Caenorhabditis elegans: one gene and its partners. The protein of the gene in region 2 interacts with the protein of the main gene of each other region in a pairwise test. Each region holds a gene or a part of one and is shown on either strand. Other genes may lie near its edges. The genes, in order: C14F11.4, lec-1, frm-1 and hpo-34.

Evidence for each region.
Region 1: the proteins of lec-1 (region 2) and C14F11.4 interact in a two-hybrid assay, tested with the Caenorhabditis elegans proteins (2 studies listed by BioGRID).
Region 3: the proteins of lec-1 (region 2) and frm-1 interact in a two-hybrid assay, tested with the Caenorhabditis elegans proteins (2 studies listed by BioGRID).
Region 4: the proteins of lec-1 (region 2) and hpo-34 interact in a two-hybrid assay, tested with the Caenorhabditis elegans proteins (2 studies listed by BioGRID).

Annotation. Positions count from the first base shown.
Region 1 is NC_003284.9:6,230,386-6,234,934, reverse strand, and holds C14F11.4 (AIP3 domain-containing protein), read left to right. Parts: upstream 1-1,886; 5' UTR 1,887-1,962; coding exon 1,963-2,025; intron 2,026-2,237; coding exon 2,238-2,360; intron 2,361-2,406; coding exon 2,407-2,475; intron 2,476-2,574; coding exon 2,575-2,679; intron 2,680-2,723; coding exon 2,724-2,867; intron 2,868-2,915; coding exon 2,916-3,008; intron 3,009-3,052; coding exon 3,053-3,183; intron 3,184-3,317; coding exon 3,318-3,607; intron 3,608-3,671; coding exon 3,672-3,808; 3' UTR 3,809-4,029; downstream 4,030-4,549. Other genes in the region: hsp-43 (SHSP domain-containing protein), read left to right, coding at 1-73, 123-709, 759-865, 1,000-1,074, 1,338-1,427, 1,487-1,608; lite-1 (High-energy light unresponsive protein 1), read left to right, coding at 4,234-4,309.
Region 2 is NC_003280.10:13,195,288-13,200,219, forward strand, and holds lec-1 (Galectin), read left to right. Parts: upstream 1-1,658; 5' UTR 1,659-1,821; coding exon 1,822-1,866; intron 1,867-2,746; coding exon 2,747-3,322; intron 3,323-3,954; coding exon 3,955-4,191; 3' UTR 4,192-4,426; downstream 4,427-4,932. Other genes in the region: btf-1 (BTAF (TBP-associated factor) homolog), read left to right, coding at 4,884-4,932. UniProt on the Caenorhabditis elegans protein: Binds galactose.
Region 3 is NC_003279.8:14,894,309-14,898,951, reverse strand, and holds the start of frm-1 (Moesin/ezrin/radixin homolog 1), read left to right. Parts: upstream 1-1,589; coding exon 1,590-1,715; intron 1,716-1,769; coding exon 1,770-1,920; intron 1,921-2,167; exon of another isoform or gene 2,168-2,389; intron 2,390-2,561; coding exon 2,562-2,959; intron 2,960-3,515; coding exon 3,516-3,766; intron 3,767-4,092; coding exon 4,093-4,259; intron 4,260-4,308; coding exon 4,309-4,376; intron 4,377-4,643.
Region 4 is NC_003284.9:11,516,052-11,521,087, reverse strand, and holds the start of hpo-34 (ZM domain-containing protein), read left to right. Parts: upstream 1-2,021; 5' UTR 2,022-2,070; coding exon 2,071-2,098; intron 2,099-2,142; coding exon 2,143-2,243; intron 2,244-2,300; coding exon 2,301-2,354; intron 2,355-2,566; coding exon 2,567-2,647; intron 2,648-2,698; coding exon 2,699-2,764; intron 2,765-2,807; coding exon 2,808-2,908; intron 2,909-2,965; coding exon 2,966-3,083; intron 3,084-3,129; coding exon 3,130-3,234; intron 3,235-3,281; coding exon 3,282-3,383; intron 3,384-3,429; coding exon 3,430-3,537; intron 3,538-3,583; coding exon 3,584-5,036.

The DNA of each region.
Region 1 (4,549 bases), on a different chromosome or scaffold from region 2:
CTCCCGTGACGTCGACAGTTGGTGGAAGGATTGGCCAACCGATTGGCCCCGTATGGACGCCGTCATGCCAAGAGTAATAATTCAAATCGCATGAACAGAAACACATCGAAACTTTTTTGCAGTTTTCCAGTCAACTTGATCGCATGGATCGCAACTGGAGGAGTGATCCATACTGGATGAATCTCTACCCAAGATGGGCTGAGCCAATCTTCAAGGAGGGAATTGACGTAAACTCCAATGTGGTTAATGATGATCGTAGATTTGCCGTTGACATGGATTGCTATCAATTCCGTCCTGAAGAAATTCAAGTGAAAACTCTTGATGATACTCTGATGATTGAGGGAAGACATGAGGATATTCGTGATAAAGATAACTTCACCAAAATGTACTTTGTCAGAAAGTACCAACTTCCAAGAGACGTAGACTTCAACTCGATTCAAAGTAGTATTGATGCCAAAGGACGTCTTCAAGTTGAGGCTGGAAAATTCAACAACATGGCATTGCAAGGTCGCGAGCGTATGATCCCAATCGAAGGAGCCGGGCACCATTCACCAAGATTTGAAAATGGAACACTCCGTTCGCAACGAGGACCAAACTCGCCAATTCATGTCCAGACTGAGCACGACGGGAGGAGCGTGTCTAGCAGAAGTGGATCGCGATTGAATGATAGTCCAGGATCGAGAGACGTGTATTCTTCTCATTCTTACAGGTAATCCTACAGATAATGATAGTGAGTATCTGAAAATAAAAATTTTCAGCTACCACCGCAGCGACTCTCGCAATCGTCTCTCCCCAAATGATGTTAACATCACTAGAAATGACAACCGAACATATAGCCCAGTCACTCCTCGTATCACAACAAGTGGTAAGTTTTTGAAAATACATAGTTAATTCAAATTTTCCAACTTTCCAAAACACTGCTTTCTGTCGTGTTCTCTTTCCACATTTCATTTTTCTTTCTATTTCTCTTTTCTATCTAGATCCCATAATTACCTTCAGAGCGGACAGTAACACCGGAACAGCGGTCGCCGGGTCGAAAAGCGTTCGAAACCATTCGAAACAATTTTGAGCGAGGTCATTTTTGCAATTTCGCACATCGCGTTTCTCTTTTTTAGTTAATTTACACACATTTCACACGAATTACTTCCCACTTCCCTCATCACAATTAGAGTAAACTTCCAACAGTTTACTGACAATACTTTGGATTTTCTCATCAATCACAAATTAACTACAACATTAACATGTTGCGCCTTTGGTCAAAAATGATCGTTAATGACACATTATTTGTTGAAAACTTGGATTTTGAAAATTCGAAAGTTTTAAAATTGGAATTTTAGGGTCATATAATACTGCTGGAAATGCAAATCTTCACGAGGAGCGTTCAAGCTCTCGCGCTCAGTCTCATCGCTCAGAAAGTCGCAATGGAGGTGAGTTTTCGCTATACATTGAGGGTTCTTCAATCAACTGAAGTGGTAAAATTTTTCAGGATACCGGGTCGAGTCACCAGTGAGCACTACAACTGGAATTCTTCGTAATGGAAACTCGGACTCACCAAACTCAACTCAACGCGAGTACCGATCAATTCAAATTCTCCGCAAGACATATTAATTGGACCAAAAACCTTATGCTTTTACTCATACCCGTTCTCCTTCAAAACTTCACAAAATTCTGCCTACAGCTTTTAAAACAAAACAATATATTTTCTGATGCTTCCATATACTCTATTCACAGCTTTTCCACTTTCAAATGTACACCTACTATTATACATAAACATTTATGCTTTTTGTTTACTAATTTTTAGTACGATTTTGTTGGTTTCAAATCTAGAACTTGAGGTGAGAAAAATATGATGATATAGAAAAGATGAAAAGAAAAATGATGGAGCCACAAAAAAAAACAACAAAATACAATCATTTCTCACTTTGATAATACAATCCATTCGACGCTTCTTTTCTATCGATCATGTCCCGTTATCCACCGCTGGTCACCAAAAAAGAAATCATCTACCGGCGTTTTATTGATGATGTGAGTTTAGTCTTAAAAACTAAAGAAGTTATTATTAAAATCGAATTAAAAACAACGATAATTTTCAGATATATATATATATATATATATATATATATTTAAAATGCAATTTAGAATAATAACTTTTTGATAATTGATTGCAAAAATTAAATTTTGACGAAAATTCTAAAACTCCAGTTATTCAAAGTACCAGAAACAATTTTTATTTGTAGCATAATGAACGTTTCGACAATATCGTGAGAAACCCTACATCATATCCTCCAAGAGCTCCAAAACCAGAACGTCCGCAAAATTTGGTTGTAAGTCACAACTATCACTCTGACGTGGAAGCTGAGGTGAGCATTACTCTGCAAAAAATTTGTTTCAACATTTTTGTTTCAGTACCAACTCTCAAAAATCAACAAAAAGTTGGATCGTATTATTGAAATTCTTCGGAGCCCATCGACCAAGGTATGTGCACAAACACAGTTGTATTGTTCTTGCACTAAACCGTCCGAAATGCTTACTTTTTATTCTTTCTTTCTTCTTTTTTTGAAACTTTTCATTCAGAAAACTTCCCAAGAGCCTCCAATCATTGACGTCGCACGCCAGGAGCAAACACGTCAATACAAGGATATTTGCGATAGGCTCGACAAATTGGAGGCTGAGTTAACTGTAAACATACATTGGAAAACAAACCAGAATACCAGATGTTTTAGGGTAAAACTCAGTTTGTTGCGCCTCTCCAAAATGAAATTTCATTATTGACAAATAAAGTTCACGAATTGGCCCAAATACAAGAGGGTTTAAGAGTGAAGCTAGTTTCGAGCAACATTGCAGGAGAAGACATCGATGAACTTTTGGTATGAAAGATGTTAAAAGGAAATCTTCAAAAAAAAACTTTTTTTCAGAAAGTCATCAATGAGACCAGAAGAGATATGGAAGAGAAAATTGGGAATATCAAGCAACTGAGTGACGGAAATTACATTCACCTGGAAGATAAAGTATGCCAAATCATATAGAACCCAACCATAAAACTTGTTTCCAGCTTGATGGATATCTTCGCAACCAGCATGGCATTCAACTCCAGGTAGACCATCTAATGCAGCTTCTGACTCATAGCTCTCGTCCGGCATCTGCTATTGGCTCAAGACCCGGTTCAGCTGCGGAAAAGATGAGGTAAATGATTGAATATATGCATTTATATGTACATATAGGTAACTCCTTATCTATAAAAAAGTTGATTTTATTTAAATTCCAAAATCCATATGTCGCATACCTCTGATCACCACCATGACACAAAATGTTTTTAGTAGTGTTTCCCGCTCATCGTCAAAAAGTTCAAACTTGAAAGCCAACCTTGTCATGCCAACTCGTCGTTCTCCACCACCGAAAACCCCAAGTGAAGCTAGCTACGCATCGACTCGCCCAAAAACTGAGCGTTCGTCATCTCACAAATCGGCAAGCACGGTCACATCATCTGCAACTATCACAACATTGGACAGTGCCAAAAGAAAGCCTCTCGCAAAAAATGCTTCACCAAAGCCACCAAGAAGTCCGGTGTTAGAAGTTTTGGAAAGAACAAAAAGTATTGAAACTATGAGTAAGTTTGAATTTTTTTAAATTTAGTTAAAGAGTTTAGAATAATTTATTTAAACCATTTCCAGATGAAATTCACACTTCTCAAAAGCTCGACGAATTGGCCATCGAAACATCATCTTCTGGCAGTTACATCGCTCCTCTACCCATCAACGGACGTCGTGATTCTCAACCAGCTAACATTTTGCTAACGCAGAAATATTAGGATATTAAATAATGATTGTTTTTTGCAAATGCTTTGGGATATGGGGTATTTCAATCAATTTTTCTAACCTCCGATAACTTTATTTTTTGTCGTCACAACTATATATTGACGCATGCTAGCTTCACATTATACACATGAATTGTCATCATTGCATAGCTACCGTAATATTGAATTCTAATTTTAAAGCTAATGAAGAAAATCAAACGACGCGTTAAATGAAATAGGGCGCACCAAAAAACAAGGGTCGAGTCAGAGTGAACTTTGCTCACAAAATTGGAAAATTCGGGAGCAGAATCAGTTTGAGACTGGCGGGACCTTTCGGAAGAAAAGGCGGTGCAAACATTGAGGTCATCATTCTAGAAAGCGTTTCTTTCGAAAAAAAGTCACAAGAAGACAACTCATTGTCAATTCTCGTAAAAAACAACATGCCACCACCATCATCACATTCAAACATTTTTCATTCGACGTTCAAGCACACCGTTAAAGAAACAATGGCAAATGGTAGGTCATAAATGTGCCCCTTGGCTACAGAGTTATAGACATACTTCTTGAAGTATAATATGTTCCTCGGCCATGCAATATTGGAACAGTGTTGAATTTCATTATTTTGTTTTCCTGAAATCACTTGTTTCATAATAGTTTGCCAATATAACGCTCTGATGTATTCTGGTAGTACCATAAGTAGGAACAGTTCCGAATGTGAGTTTTAAAATAAAAAATCGCAGACAACATTAACGTGAA
Region 2 (4,932 bases):
ATTTCTCACACACACACACAAAATTTTCCTGCATCTCTCACACACGTTCTGTGCTCTTTTGTCTCTTGTTTACACGTCTGTTGTCTCTCGGACTTTATTTACGAAATGCTGCGTCTCTCCTGCCCTTCTCTCTCTCTCTCTCTATTGCGCCCAGAGACCACACTTTTATTGCCATTGTCGTCGTCGTCGTCGGAAATTTTCTCGCTTTTTCATCTTCTTCTTCTAAATAATCATGTTTTTAAAATTCAATTTTAATTTCAGGAACCACCGAAAAGCCACCACCAGCAAAAAATGTCCGCCGAAGAGCCAAAGTCCTACGTGAGTTTCGTTTCTAACGGTGTTGTAACAACAACAAAAAAGAAAAGAATAGAAAAAAAACCGTATCAGTACGGGGGTGATGAAAGTGCGGCGGCGGCCCCAGTCAAGCGTAAGAAATAATGAAAAAGAAAGGACAGAAACTTTTGGAGAATTTGCCCGTTTCTGTAAGTGTCACCTCTATAGTTCACCACCGATGTTTGGACTACTACTACTACGTGTTGAATCAGAAGGAAGATCAGACGCCGCAAAAAATATATTTGTTGATAGTTGATTTCGAAATTGTAGTTCTTGACACTGATGATTGATCGTTAAGTGAACAATTTTAAAGAAACGATTTTTGCATAACGTCCAGTTTGCAGCAATTCTACAGAATCAGGTTGAAAAGCTTCGAATTTAGAAACGTCTTCAGCTAAAGTGAGACCAAAATGTTTCCATCAAAAGCTCAAAAGGCATTTTTAATCTCTTTTTTCCAGCTTGAAACAATTTCCAGTTGATCTTTAAGATGCTTACCACTCGAATTTCAAATTGCTTCTGCAGTCTTCTATGTTAAGCCGTGTCTCATCATGAATGTCCTTTCTCTTCGATGTCTTGTGCCTTCTTGAAAATCTTCCGACGAGTAGTAACCTCCTTTTTCTCGAATATAGAACAACAAATGGCAGTTTGGCAATTTGGCAATTTGGACAAAACACTAGTACACCATGAGAACCTGCCTAAGATCAATGCCACATTTTTTCTCGCCTTGGCCCTAGTTGTGCAACACCTTTTCAACGTTTGAAGCAGGGGTGGGCGGCAATTGCCGGTTTGCCGGAAATTTCAATTCCGGCAATTTTCCGATTTTCCGCAAATTTCAATTCCGGCAATTTTCCGATTTGCCGGAAATTTCAATTCCGGCAATTTGCCGATTTGCCGGAAAAAAATCGTTTGCCGCCCACCCCCTGGTTTTTGAAGTGCATTTCGAGCCTTTGAAGTTGAAGTTTGCACGTGACGCCCAGACTCGAAATGCGGTAAACAGTAATGCGAAGACGCAAATATTGAGCATGGATTTTGCTCCGAAAACTTTTGTTGTTTGAGTTTCAACAAATCATACAAAAAAAATTTCGAGCTGAAAACTGTACCAACACTCATTATCGATCTCTTCCTCTCCAGAAAGTTCCGTTCCTTTTTTCAATTTCACTGTTTTCTTCGCCTACAACGACACGATGAATCATGGCGAGAAGTCGTATGCGAGAGACTGTACGAGAAGTCGGAGACACAGACAGATGCACAAAAAGAAACATTTCAATGTCGCCTCGCGCACATGCTGTCACCCTCCCATAATTCCATGCTCTCTCTGACTCAATATTGGGCGGCGCTTGCGAATGTTATGACTGTTCAACTGTCTGGTTTCTCTCTCCTCTCACACTCTCAGCTTTTGTTGAAACTGTTTACCGGTCGTCAGTTCTTCGTTTGACTCGCGTCCTGAACGATCGCTTTCAGTTTTCCTCAGCTCAACTCTTTACACTAATGTCTTCCACTCCTCAATTCCTTCGCTGGTACGAGCAGAACAAGGTAAAGCATGCCTCTATACATGGGGGTGTCAGGCTGTCCCATGTTTGATCTACAAAAAAAAGCGGGAATTTTTTCTCCTGCAACTTTTCGGAGATCAAACTGACATGGGACATTCTGACACCAGCTCGAAAATGGAGAGCATTCCAAGTTTGTTGGTTGCCACTAAAGTGACACATTCCTCTCGTTATCTGCTCGCCCACACCTTCGGTTCCATTATCAACATTCGAGATTCCCGCCATATTTCTGGTGTGTTTGCTCGGCGGCACATCACAACAAAATTTTGTGCAAAATGGAGCAAAATGGAGCTAAAAAATAGAAAGCAACTAGACAATGTAGAAAAGGCATTTTTTGTCGTCGTCAGCTGTATGAAAGTCTGGGGAGCGCGAAGATTGGTGGATGCAGATTGGATAACAGCTCTTCCGCTTTTTCGGGTCTCGCTTCTTGCTCGCTTATTCTGTTCACCAGTGTGTGACACGCGAGGTCCCCCCCCCCCCCCAGCATATATTTCTACATGATTACCCTACTGAACATTTTAAAATGGCATATGGAAGAAGAAATGGTTCTAGAAAACTCTACTTATAAATCTATTACCGAAACACAAAATTCTGAGAATGCGTATCGCGCGACATATTTGACGCGCAAAATATCTCGTAGCGAAAACTACAGTAGTTCATTGTTCATTACATGACTACTGTAGCGCTTGTGTGTCGATTTACGGCATTTCACAAGCGCTACAGTAGGCATTTAAGGAGTTACTGTAGTTTTCGCTACGAGATATTTTGCGCGTCAAATATGTTGTGCAGTACGCATTATCAGAAAAATGTGTTCCCGTAATAATCCAATTAATTTTTTAAAAAATTAAAATTTTTAAATTTTTCAGCCAGTACCATACCGCTCAGTGCTCCAGGAGAAGTTCGAGCCCGGACAGACGCTCATCGTCAAGGGATCGACGATCGACGAGTCGCAACGCTTCACCATCAACCTTCACTCGAAGACCGCGGATTTCTCCGGAAACGATGTGCCACTCCACGTCTCTGTCCGCTTCGATGAGGGCAAAATTGTGCTCAACTCGTTCTCGAATGGAGAATGGGGAAAGGAAGAGCGCAAGTCGAACCCAATCAAGAAGGGAGACTCGTTCGACATTCGCATCCGTGCTCACGACGATCGCTTCCAGATCATCGTCGACCACAAGGAGTTCAAGGACTACGAGCACCGTCTGCCACTCTCCTCAATCTCTCACCTCTCGATTGACGGAGATCTCTACTTGAACCACGTTCACTGGGGAGGAAAGTACTACCCAGTACCATACGAGAGCGGACTCGCCAACGGACTTCCAGTCGGAAAGAGCCTCCTCGTCTTTGGAACCGTTGAGAAGAAGGCCAAGCGCTTCCACGTCAACCTTCTCCGCAAGAATGGAGACATCTCGTTCCACTTCAACCCACGTTTCGATGAGAAGGTAAGGGTTGATATATGCCACGAGGCACCACAGAAAGGAGAACCACGACAAAGGAGAACAGGAACCACGTCCATTTTTCCGTGCCGCGAGAGGCACCACATTTTCAGGATCTGGAACCGTACCAACTGCGGTTTTTGCAGTTTTCTCTCGATGAAAAACGAAACAACGATGCTCCGATGTTATGCGTGTTGTTTAGCGTTTTCCAAAAGTTTTTATTTCAAAAAAACATTATTCTGAACGCTAAACAACACGCGACGCGTCATATCGGAGTATCGTTGTTTCGTTTTTCAGCGAGAGAAAACTGCAAAAACCGCAGTTGGCACGGTGCCCCAGATCCTGAAAACGTGGTGCCTCAAAATTTGCGGAAAACTTGCGGCACGGAAAAATGGGTGTGGTTTCTGTGTTCTCCTTGTTCACCTGTTCTCCTTTCTGTGGTGCCTCACACACACATACACAAAAAGACCCGCATTTTGTTTGCTACATTTGGGCAAATATGGCGCTCTTCAACAAACAATTTTATGAGACACAAAAGTTTTGCATGTGTCTATTTCTATTGGTAAAATTGGTGAAAGGACAAAAAAAAATCGATTTCAATAGAAATTTGACCAAATTCTTTATTTCCTTTCTTCCAGCACGTCATCCGCAACTCTCTTGCCGCCAACGAATGGGGAAATGAGGAGCGCGAGGGAAAGAACCCATTCGAGAAGGGAGTCGGCTTCGACTTGGTCATCCAAAACGAGGAGTACGCGTTCCAGGTGTTCGTCAACGGAGAACGCTACATCTCGTTCGCTCACCGCGCCGATCCACACGACATTGCCGGGCTTCAGATCTCTGGAGACATTGAGCTGTCTGGAATTCAAATCCAATAAATTATGTATTGATATCCCCTGTTCCCCCTCTTTCTTCTGTTATCCAGCTCTCCCATTTCTCTCTCTCTCACTGATCAATCTTCCAAAAGTCTACTGCCCCTCTCCCCCCCCCCCCCCCCCAAAAAGAATCATTTCTCTATTATTTCGCACCGGCAACTGAACTGTAATCCCGCGTTTTTCTTTTTGTATCTTTTCTCACCCCCCACATTGTATTTTAATAAAATTGGATAGCAGATTTTCTCGTTGTCATTTCAGGTTTCATATTTTGAAAGCGGATCATCATGAAAAGTTCTGCGAAAAAAACGCGAAAAGTAAGCGAAAACTCGAAAAAACTATATTTGAAAGTACCGCCGTTTTTGTCCAGGAGAGCGCGTTTTCCTCGAGTCACTACAAATTGCACGGAAGTCGAATCGTGAAAACCGCGCGTGTTTCCCATCAGGTTTGCCTACAAAATTTAGTTTTCTTCTTATTGTTAAATCAATAATTATTATAATGTATAATGTGAAGCTCGAAATCTTGAATAATCCTGAATAATCCTGCTATAAACTCGGGTTTCTAAAGTTTTCCTCAGGATTTTTGTTCCCTGGAATGCGTGGTGTCTCCCATTTTTTTTTGGATTTTTGGATTTAAATGCATTTTTCGCTGTTTTTTCTCTCAAATAAGCCGGAAAAATTGAAAATTTTCAGTTTCCGATGAGCGCCGACACGTCGGCTCGTCTTCTTCAGCTTGACCCTCTACTCG
Region 3 (4,643 bases), on a different chromosome or scaffold from region 2:
TCTCTCTTCTTTGCTATTGCGAAAAATTGTCTCATTGCAACACCTCTCTCGCCTTCATCTTTTCTGCCTCCGAATTCCCACTACTGTGATTGACTGAGATGAAAAGAATAGAATGAAACAGTGTAATAAACTAAACGTTTTTGTTTTTTTTTTCTGCTGTTTTGTGGCCAACACAACGCCTGTTGGTTTCGTCTTCTTCATCCTGATGGCGGTGGCGAGAATAAGAGAGGAGAGCAACAAATAGCACAGAAATAGCAACAGTTGTGTGTGCACCTCTGCTATCAATTGAAGCTCTCCGTAAGCATTATTTTTTGCTGTTTTGATATATTGGAATTCTTTTGAAACTATGTGAACAATTTTTTATTGTGATATTTGCCAATAATGTGTATTTTGGGTCTTGTAGCGACCAACATGACTGACAATGAGAAAATTACTCTATCGAAAACTTCTAATTAAAAATACTAATCGTGATTTCACTTTATCAAGTTCACAAGCTTTTTAGAAACGTGTAATAAACGCCTCAAGAATGTATTCGGTTGGGTCTCGCCACGATAAAAAATTGTGGTAGCAATTTTCTATTTATTCGGGATTTCGTGAGCAATTTTTGTAATCATCACTTTAATTTTTTCTCGATGTTTTCCTATTTTTTCCTGAACTAAAAAATACGAATTACTTATTGAAAAGCTAACGAAAATCAAGGAAAATCGTTAAAAACTAATAAATTCCTGAAAAAAATAAAAATTTCCACCATAAACGTTTTCGTCGCGGCGAGACCCACTCGAACATAACTATGCGCCTTTAAGTTTACTGTAGACAAATTTTGTCCGTTTTTTCGATGTTTTCCTCTATTTTTTTCTATTTTCCTACCATTTATTGTATTTTAATTAAAAAGTAATTAAAAAGCTAAAAAATTAACTTATTCCCTGCAAACTTTCGACACGAAATCTTCATTTCTCAAAAATTAGTGTTATTCGCGCTGCGAATCCACATTTTCCACTTTTTCACGTTCTCTGGCATTTATAAATTTGTTTTTGTTTTTCAGAAGATAAAAACGTAAAAATTCACGTTATAAATTCCCATTAAAATCGTCAAAGCCAAAATTTTGAATTCGTATTTATTTCTAGTAAAAAAAAAGTATTCTTCAACTTTGAATGTAAATTTAGTTAACTCTTCCACTGTTTTTCTCCAATACTCTTTCTTTTTTCATTTCCACCTTCAAATGATCCTAATATTTCATGTTTTCTCACCACAATCTGCGGGTACCGGAGAAAAGGTGTAATTTTTCTTTATTGTCCTTCTCTACTATGCCTCCCAGAATTTATTGCGTTTTTTATGCCGGGCATTGGCTACTTTTTCTCCCAACAACACCAATTCATCCCTTCTGTCTTTTTTTTTCGCAGAAAAACAGAACAAAATGTGGCATTTCGAATAGAGCGCGTTTGCATTACTCCCCCCCCTCCTCCCTGTCGGCCGGGCAATTCAAATTTTAACACTTTCTTTTGCTCTATAAACTTTTAAAACTTCTATTTTCAATGAAAGTTGCAGTTTTTTTTCTAATTTTTATTAATTTCCTCCACATTTCAGAGCAAATGGGTACCGATAGAGATCCCGGAGACCAGAAACACCCAACGACTAGCCAGCAGCCACGAGATTCGAAAATGCAGTTGGCAAAAGTTCTTCTTCCCGACGGAGTTCAAAAGGAGTTTGAGGTTAATGTAAGTTTTTGAAGAATTTCACCGGAAAAACTGCTAAATTCTAAATTTTTACAGAAAAACTCGGAAGGAGAAGCACTTTTCCGACAAGTGACACGAGATCTATCGATTGAGGAACGCGAATACTTCTCGCTGTGCTTCTACGACAAAGATGAGGGAACACGACATTGGCTATATAATGATAAGAATATTGCGAAACAGATTAAAGGTAAAAATGAGAAAAAAAAGAAAATTTTGGTTAAAAATGTGGATTTTCTTCACAAAAAGCTAATTTCCCCCGCTTTTTCAAAAAAAAAAAACTGCCTTGAAATTTTTGGAAAGCTGTTTCAAGTAAATAAAAATATTTCTCTTATTCGGAAAAGAAATTGAATCGATTTCATGTCCAAAGTTGTATTAATTTTCCTTTTTTTTTGTAAATTCCCTGATGAATTACAAGAATCTAGGAATATTATCCTTAAAAATATAATAAAAAACTCTAACCCGCGGCCACGTGTCGATTTACGCAGCTCGTGTATTCCTCGAAGAAAAATAGTTTTTCTACATTTTTCGCAAAGTTTTCTCAAATCTTCTGTGTATTTCAAAGAAAATCGAAAAATCTGATAATTTTAATTTTGAAATCGAGTCTTTTTTAAAAGTTTACTGATTTTTTATAGAGCGAAAGCGGAAAATATTGAAAGTTGGAATTTTTGTTTCAAAAAAAAAAATTAGTCTGAAAAACATCGAAATCTCGAACAATTTTCAACCAAAAACTGCGTAAATCAACACATGGCCGTGTAAGAGGTTTCCCGCGGCCACCTATTTCATTTTCTTTTTTAAATCAATTTTTCAACCAACTGTCAAATTTTGCAGGTCTTCCTTGGGAATTCTCGTTCGAGGTCAAATTCTACCCGACCACACCTACAACGATCGTCGACGATCACGCTCGCTACTACGTCTTCCTTCAACTCAGACGTGATCTCCTCACCGGACGTCTTCCAGCTACTGCCGACACACATTCTCTTCTCGGATCGTTTGTCGCTCAAATCGAGTTCGGTGATGCTCCAGCAGAGATGACGGATGCCTACGAGCAGTTCATTGTGGCGTCCAAGCTGGTGCCATCAGCACAAGCGAATCCGGAAACATACAAGAAGATTGTCGATTTGCACAGAGAGATGCGCGGACAGACGCCTTCTGAAGCTGAAAATCAATTTTTGGATCACTGCAAGCACCTGGCTCTCTACGGAATCCACCTTTTCAAGGCAATCTCCGTATGTTTTTCGACAAAAAAAGGTTCCTGCTCGAGTACTCCACTAGGAAAATATTTTTTCTTAAATTAACATCTAAACTTCTATCATTTTCTTCTTTTAGTGCTCATTCTTCAAGTCCTTAATTTTGAAGAAATATTTTTAGTGGTTTATGAAAAAAATAGTAGTATTTACTTTTGTCTAAAATAATTAATTTGTTAAGTATTCTCTTTCAATTTATCAGCTTGGTGATTTTTAAGCTAATTTTGAAATTTCCGCCAATTTCTTGAGGGTGATCAAATTTTATTCACTGAAAAGTGTTTGGCAAATTGAAAAACGGTGTTTTAACTTAAAAATAAAAAGAAAATCAGGAAAACTGGTAAATTTAGCCAGTCAACGCATTGGATGTTTGAATCGAATTATTATTAAATTTGAATGAAAATTTGTCATATTCGGTCATTAGGGTTTTCTGTCACTTAAAGCACAAAATGTTTTGACTCTGTTCCACCTGTAAAGGAGTAAAAACTATTCGAAAATGCCCAAATTAGCTTTGTTTTTATAATTATAAAATATCTTTCAGGATAAGGACAAGAAGCCTGTGGACGTTGGAATCGGTGCCGCCGGAATAAACATTTACCAAGACGAGCAAAAGACGCATTCCTTCAGCTGGCAGAATATTATCAAAATCGGATATCGTCGTACTTACTTCTCGATAAAGCTCAAGGCAGGGACTGTCGAGAAGAATGAGAAGACATTGTACTTCAAGTTGCCAAACCATGTCGCCGCAAAGAGGACTTGGAAGTGTGCAGTCGAACATCACACTTTCTTTAGGTAATTTTTGAGAATAACTTATCTCAAAAACTGAATTTCTAAAAGAGAAGTTTAAAAAATACGTGAAGATTGCCTAAAATTATCTAAAAATTTCGGATTTTTCATCTTGCAGGAGTCGAAAAATAATTTTTGTTCTAATTTTCGAATTCCTGCTCGATGGATCAATTTTTTTTCAACTGTTTAACTGAAATTGATTTTTGTTTTGTTGAATTGTCGAACATGCTTTTCCAAAATTACGATTAAATAATTATCTCTGTCGTTTAAATTTAATTTCGACGGGTCTGAAAAAATTATTTCTTAAAATTAAATAAAATCTTTAATTTCAGACTGATCCAACCTGAAGACAAGACACATAAATCATTCTTCAACTTTGGCTCCCAGCGGTTCCGCTATCAAGGACGCACTCAATTCCAGACAAAGATTGCCTCGCAGATGTTTGATAAACCATCGACAGTGGACAGAGCGCCATCTGCAATGTCTCAACCAATAGCAAGTGAGTTTTTGATTACAATAGTTGAAATACATTATTAATGAATTTACAGCAGCCGAGAATCAGAAACTTCAAACACTCAATCTCACGGATTCGGAATTGGAGCAGCGCCAATTTGAGGTTAGTTTAATTGGTTTCCAGTGTGCTTTTCTATGTTTTTGTTCTAATATTATTTTGCATGAAACGCTTTTTAGAGCGCTTTTTTGTGTTTTCTATCGCTCACATCACAATAACTGCTTTTCAAATTTTGGAGAAAAACCACCGAAAACCCCTCAAGCACAAACACAAAATTCACATGTTTCTTCTTTCTACTCAAAAATTTTCAAACTTTTCCGCTAAAACGTCAACTTTTTTCTTCATAGTTCTTCCCCTTATTCTTCTAAAGAA
Region 4 (5,036 bases), on a different chromosome or scaffold from region 2:
CCGTTAAAAATTGCCAATAATGTGTAAATGCTACACTAGGAGCACTAGGAGCTCCATTTTTTCGAAAGTTATAAAATTTTTGTGCCATGCTAAAAAAAATTACAAAATCGTGAAAACTTTTTTCCAATATCCAAATTAGTAACAATTTCAGCTTGTTCTACTTTTTTTGTGATATTCAAATATTTCAGAACTATCAGGAAATGATTTAAACCCTTTTCCTACGGTTGGCGTTTTACTTACAAATACCAAATACACATTGCCATTTCCAGACACTTTTTTGATAAAGACGACCATCTTAAGAGTTGAAAGACCTGTTTTTGGTTTCATAGATGATTTTAATTAATTATTTAAAAACACTTTTGGCTTAAAACATTATTTTTTCAAGAGAGACGGAGAAAGATAAATTTCCATGGCAACATTGTCAGCGCACGAAGATTATACAACCAAGCATAGAGATTGACGAAAGATTTGTTTCCTCTATTTTTATTCACAGTTGAACAAAAATTGTGCATGTTGCTGTAGAAATGGACAGATTATGGAACTATTAGATGAAACGCAGACTGTAGAAAAATAAAAATGGCCCGAAAATAAAAATCAGTAAATATGTTTAACTGTATCTGAAACAAAAAATAAATGATATGTTGAAAAATTTGCCATTAATGTTTTATTAAACCAATTTCAGCCGTATTCTATTATGGCACGAAAAACTAATTTCCCGAGTGTTCACAGGATTGCAAGGAAAAGTTCGATGCCGACCAACAAAACATTAATTTTCGTTATAACTCAAATTCGGTAGGATATTCGAAGATTTGAACATTATTTTTCAAACATATCCATTATATCCAATTCTCGAATTTTTTGGGTATGGCATCACAAAGTCATAGTCCGTTTCTGCGTTTTTCACTGTTTGGAATTGTAACTTTAAAAATGTATCATTTTGTGTCTGATTATTTTTTGCAACTCTTAAAAATTCTTACTTACTAGTTTTGCAATGTAATAATGTGTTATACAAATTACAAATGATATCTAAATAATTATATAATTTTAAATGTATAGAAAACTTTTACTTGTCTCAACATGACAATTTTGTTAGTCAAGCTTCAGTTTCCAGTCAAATAAAACATATCACACTAACAGAAACATTTTGGATAAGTTTTTGATTTAAAATTAAATTTTTATCTTTAATTTGTCATTGTCGTTTTCTCGGGAAATATAGTGTTTATCAAAATTAGAATGTGCGTTTAACTAAAATGTAGGATTTCATCATATTTGTAATTGAGCATTTAATAAGATGTTTTCTTGTGTCTTGAAATAAATTCAGATGTATGAAAAAAACTGTATTCGTTCAGATGACTTAACGTCCTTTCAGAGCAAATATTTTCGGGTACTGGCAGACTGTAAACATTAAAAACATCGACATTCTTTTTCTCTTTGTCACTTTAGCAAATATCATCTGCTATAATTTCCACTGCAAGTGCAATGCTTGTTACCTCCCAACTGGAACACTGACAGGTTAAAAAACTATAAAACGCTTGCTTCAAACAGCATGGAATTCAGTTGGAATATAGACCCATTTCTCTCCCATAATTTTAGTTTAATTTTGAACTTATGTTTCCTTTTCTGACATTAAAATATGTTCTCATGTTCTAAGCGTGTCTAAATGGAAGTCCCCCAATAAGTCACAAAAAATTATTATGCTATCATGTAATGTGTCCGGCAAAGAATCATTTATAAATTTCTCTGCGTTTATCAAAATTAAACGTGCTCCAAAAAGTGTGCTGCGTGTCACATACTATCATACCGGTCGTTTCGAAATTGTTCTCTACCCTCACTTTCCCCTTGTCGTCGTGGTTTATCATCTTACATCAAATGGCAGTTATCATCGGCGCCGTGTTTGCCGTTTGTAGCAGAGTTAAGAGCCCGACTGCTTTTTGAAACCAATCTTCGCGTTTTACTTTTTTTCGCAACAATAATAATAATAATAATGATCTAACAACCTTTTCAAATTTAATTCTCAGCTATTTTAGGTTACCTATTGTTCGTGGATTGGAAAAAAGAACCGAAGAAAAAATGATGGAGACTAGGAATGCCAGTGATAGTAAGTATGACATTAACACATTTCCCAATTCCAGTTTTAAAAAGGTTTGATGGACCAAGTCTTTTCTGCTGTCACGCTTCCTGCTGTTGGACAAACAACTACCATCATGGAGCATCATCAAGAATCTCACACTGTTTTTCACCAAGTAAGAAAATTTTTGAACAGTTATTTTGTTGATATTAGTTATTTTATTGAATTTCAGGAGAGTCATCATGTTGAATCTCACCACGAGCATATGGAATTCTCCTCTTCTGGGGTAAGCAAATTTTTATTTACATTGTAAAGATTACTTTAACTTCAATTATAATCTGATTTTTTTTACTTCTGATTTGATAACTTATCAATTTTTTGCTCATCAAAACTGAAAATCAGTTGGTGCTCTTTGATTTCCGTGTTCGAAAAAGAATGACAGTATCGATTGATTTAAGAACAATTTTGTTGGAAAATGAACAAAAAATATTTTTTCAGGTTATCGTAGGAAACGTTGTTGGTCATGATGCCGTTATTCAACGTCGTCCAACTGTGGATACTGAAGATCAGCGGTCGGAGGTATATATTAAAATTAATCTTTCATTATTTTGAAAAAGAGCATTTATTTAGGTGTCCGCAATGTCAAAAGCCACATCAGTTTCTGTTCATTCTAGCGTTTCTCAAAAATCCGCTCAGGTATTTCAGTTCGAACAATGAAAACTATAAACGCCTTTTTCAGCACTACGATCTTCCACCTATCCCACAGTACGACATGCCTCCGATTGTTGTTGGGGAAGCTGTTGTTGGAAAGGCACCATCAGTTGCTTCTTCCAGATCAGGGTATATCTTAAGCTCACTCTACTGAAGAAATAATAAATAATTTTCACACACCTACAGGTCCCACCATTCCGTCGCTTCGCATCATTCGCATCACTCCCAACATTCCCATCATTCCGCTTTGACTCATGACAGCGAGTCGACTATTTCCGAGGGAACTCTTGTGAATGAGCCGATCGTCAGTTTTACAAAGATTAAAAAACAATTTATTCATGATTTTTCAGGTGGTCGGAGCACATGTTGCATCTGAAGCTCCAACCCCACTTGCTGTCGGACAATCATTCGAGCATGACGCAGTGATTGAGCAATTTAAAAATCTTCATGGAAGAGTAAATAAACATTTTCAAACTTAAAACACCTATAATTTCTTTTTCAGGATCAATCAGTGGTTTCCAGCATTGTTCCTGCCTCAGTTCACATTCAAAGTGACAGCGAGGACTCTATTGCTCCATCAAAGTTGACTCACTCGATTGCTGTTGTACGTTTTTAAATGACATATCAGTTAAACTGTGAATTGCTTTCAGGGAGGAGTTGTCGATTCTCACAATGGTGTCAATGTTTTGCACAGAAGTCACGAAGTTGAATTTGTGGACTTTGCTGCTCCAGCTTACTACCAACCACCATCAGTTGTCGTAAGTGTCAAGAGTTTGTGTTTTTTATTAATACAGCTTTGTTCAGGGCGCTTTTGATGCTCATAGCGAGGATTCGTTTGGTTTTGAGAAGGTGGAATATGTGGACACTCATGAGGACCATCACCACAAGTTGGAGGAACAAGTTCCGCAAGTTGTTCATGAACATGTTATTGAACAGCATTACGAGCCTTATCAAATCGTCCATGAGAACCATAATGTGTTATCGGTCGATTTCGGAGAGGATCAACACTCCATAACCCATCATGATCATGACCACCACCACCACCACCATGAATCCCATGTTACCCATACCTTCACCTCCAATGTGAAACAGTCCCGTTCTAACACTGCCTCCACTTACCAAAGTCGCCAAATGTTAGCACATAATGTTGGGCCTAAAATTACTGAGGAGTTGCGTCCGGCTGCGGTGCTGGAGGAGGAAGAGGTTGAGGTTAGGCCCCCAGTGATGGCCTACGTGGCTCCAATCCCAGTTAAGCCACCACGTACCCACGAAGAGAGTCATATCTATAACGCGTACGAAACGGAGATTCATCAGCAAAAGGATATCGTCAAGTCTACTACTGTTGTTCTGGAAGATGTCCGCTCAGGATCTGAAGGTATTCATATCCGAGCGGATAATTCTTCATCTGTTGATATTATAGGTGTTAGCTCCCTTCGCAGAAAGTTTGAGCATGGTGCTCCACCACCATTGTCGCCTGTCTTTGAAATGAAGAAGCATGAGCACCACAAGCATCTTGATCAACACCATCACCACAAACACCAAGACGTCGTCGTTGAGCAAACGCAATTCCAGGTCGGCGATAACTTCATCTCTTCTTCTTCTTCTAAAGCAATAGAGAATCATTATGACGTTCCTTTCGATTCTTATGAGATAGTTGATAAATCTGAAAACACTAAAAAATCCTCATCCTCTTACCACGCCTCCTCCTCCTACCACAAGCAAGCACCACCGCTGCCACTAGTCGATTACCATGTATATGACACGCCAACTGTTGAACATTTCTCCCATTCGCCAGCTTTCTATACTGACGATCAGCGCCACCATTATGTTCCCCAAATCAAGGTGATAACAGAGTATCGACACATCAACCCTCGTCATCATTACGTGGAAAGACAAATTAGAAAAGCTGATGGAAGTGCGATTGCACAAAGTCCGCAAGTTCAAACGATTGACTATTTTAAAGAAATCAACAGGGCTCACCATTTTGTCCCATCTACGCCACCATCGCTGTTTAACAACAAGCGAGAAAGTTTCCACCATCACAGCTTTATTCCAAACAGTTTGGAAGCTGAAAGAAAGAGTCGTAGTGTTGAAAGAGCGCACCATTATCTCCCAGATTCACCAGCGAATGTGAAAGATCAGAGAAAAATAATCAGGGAACATCATTATGTTCCTCTTGAGAAACGCTCTCAATCGTTGGATTTAAAAGTAGTTCATCCTGAACATCACTATGTTCCACTTGTCAGAAAAACAACGG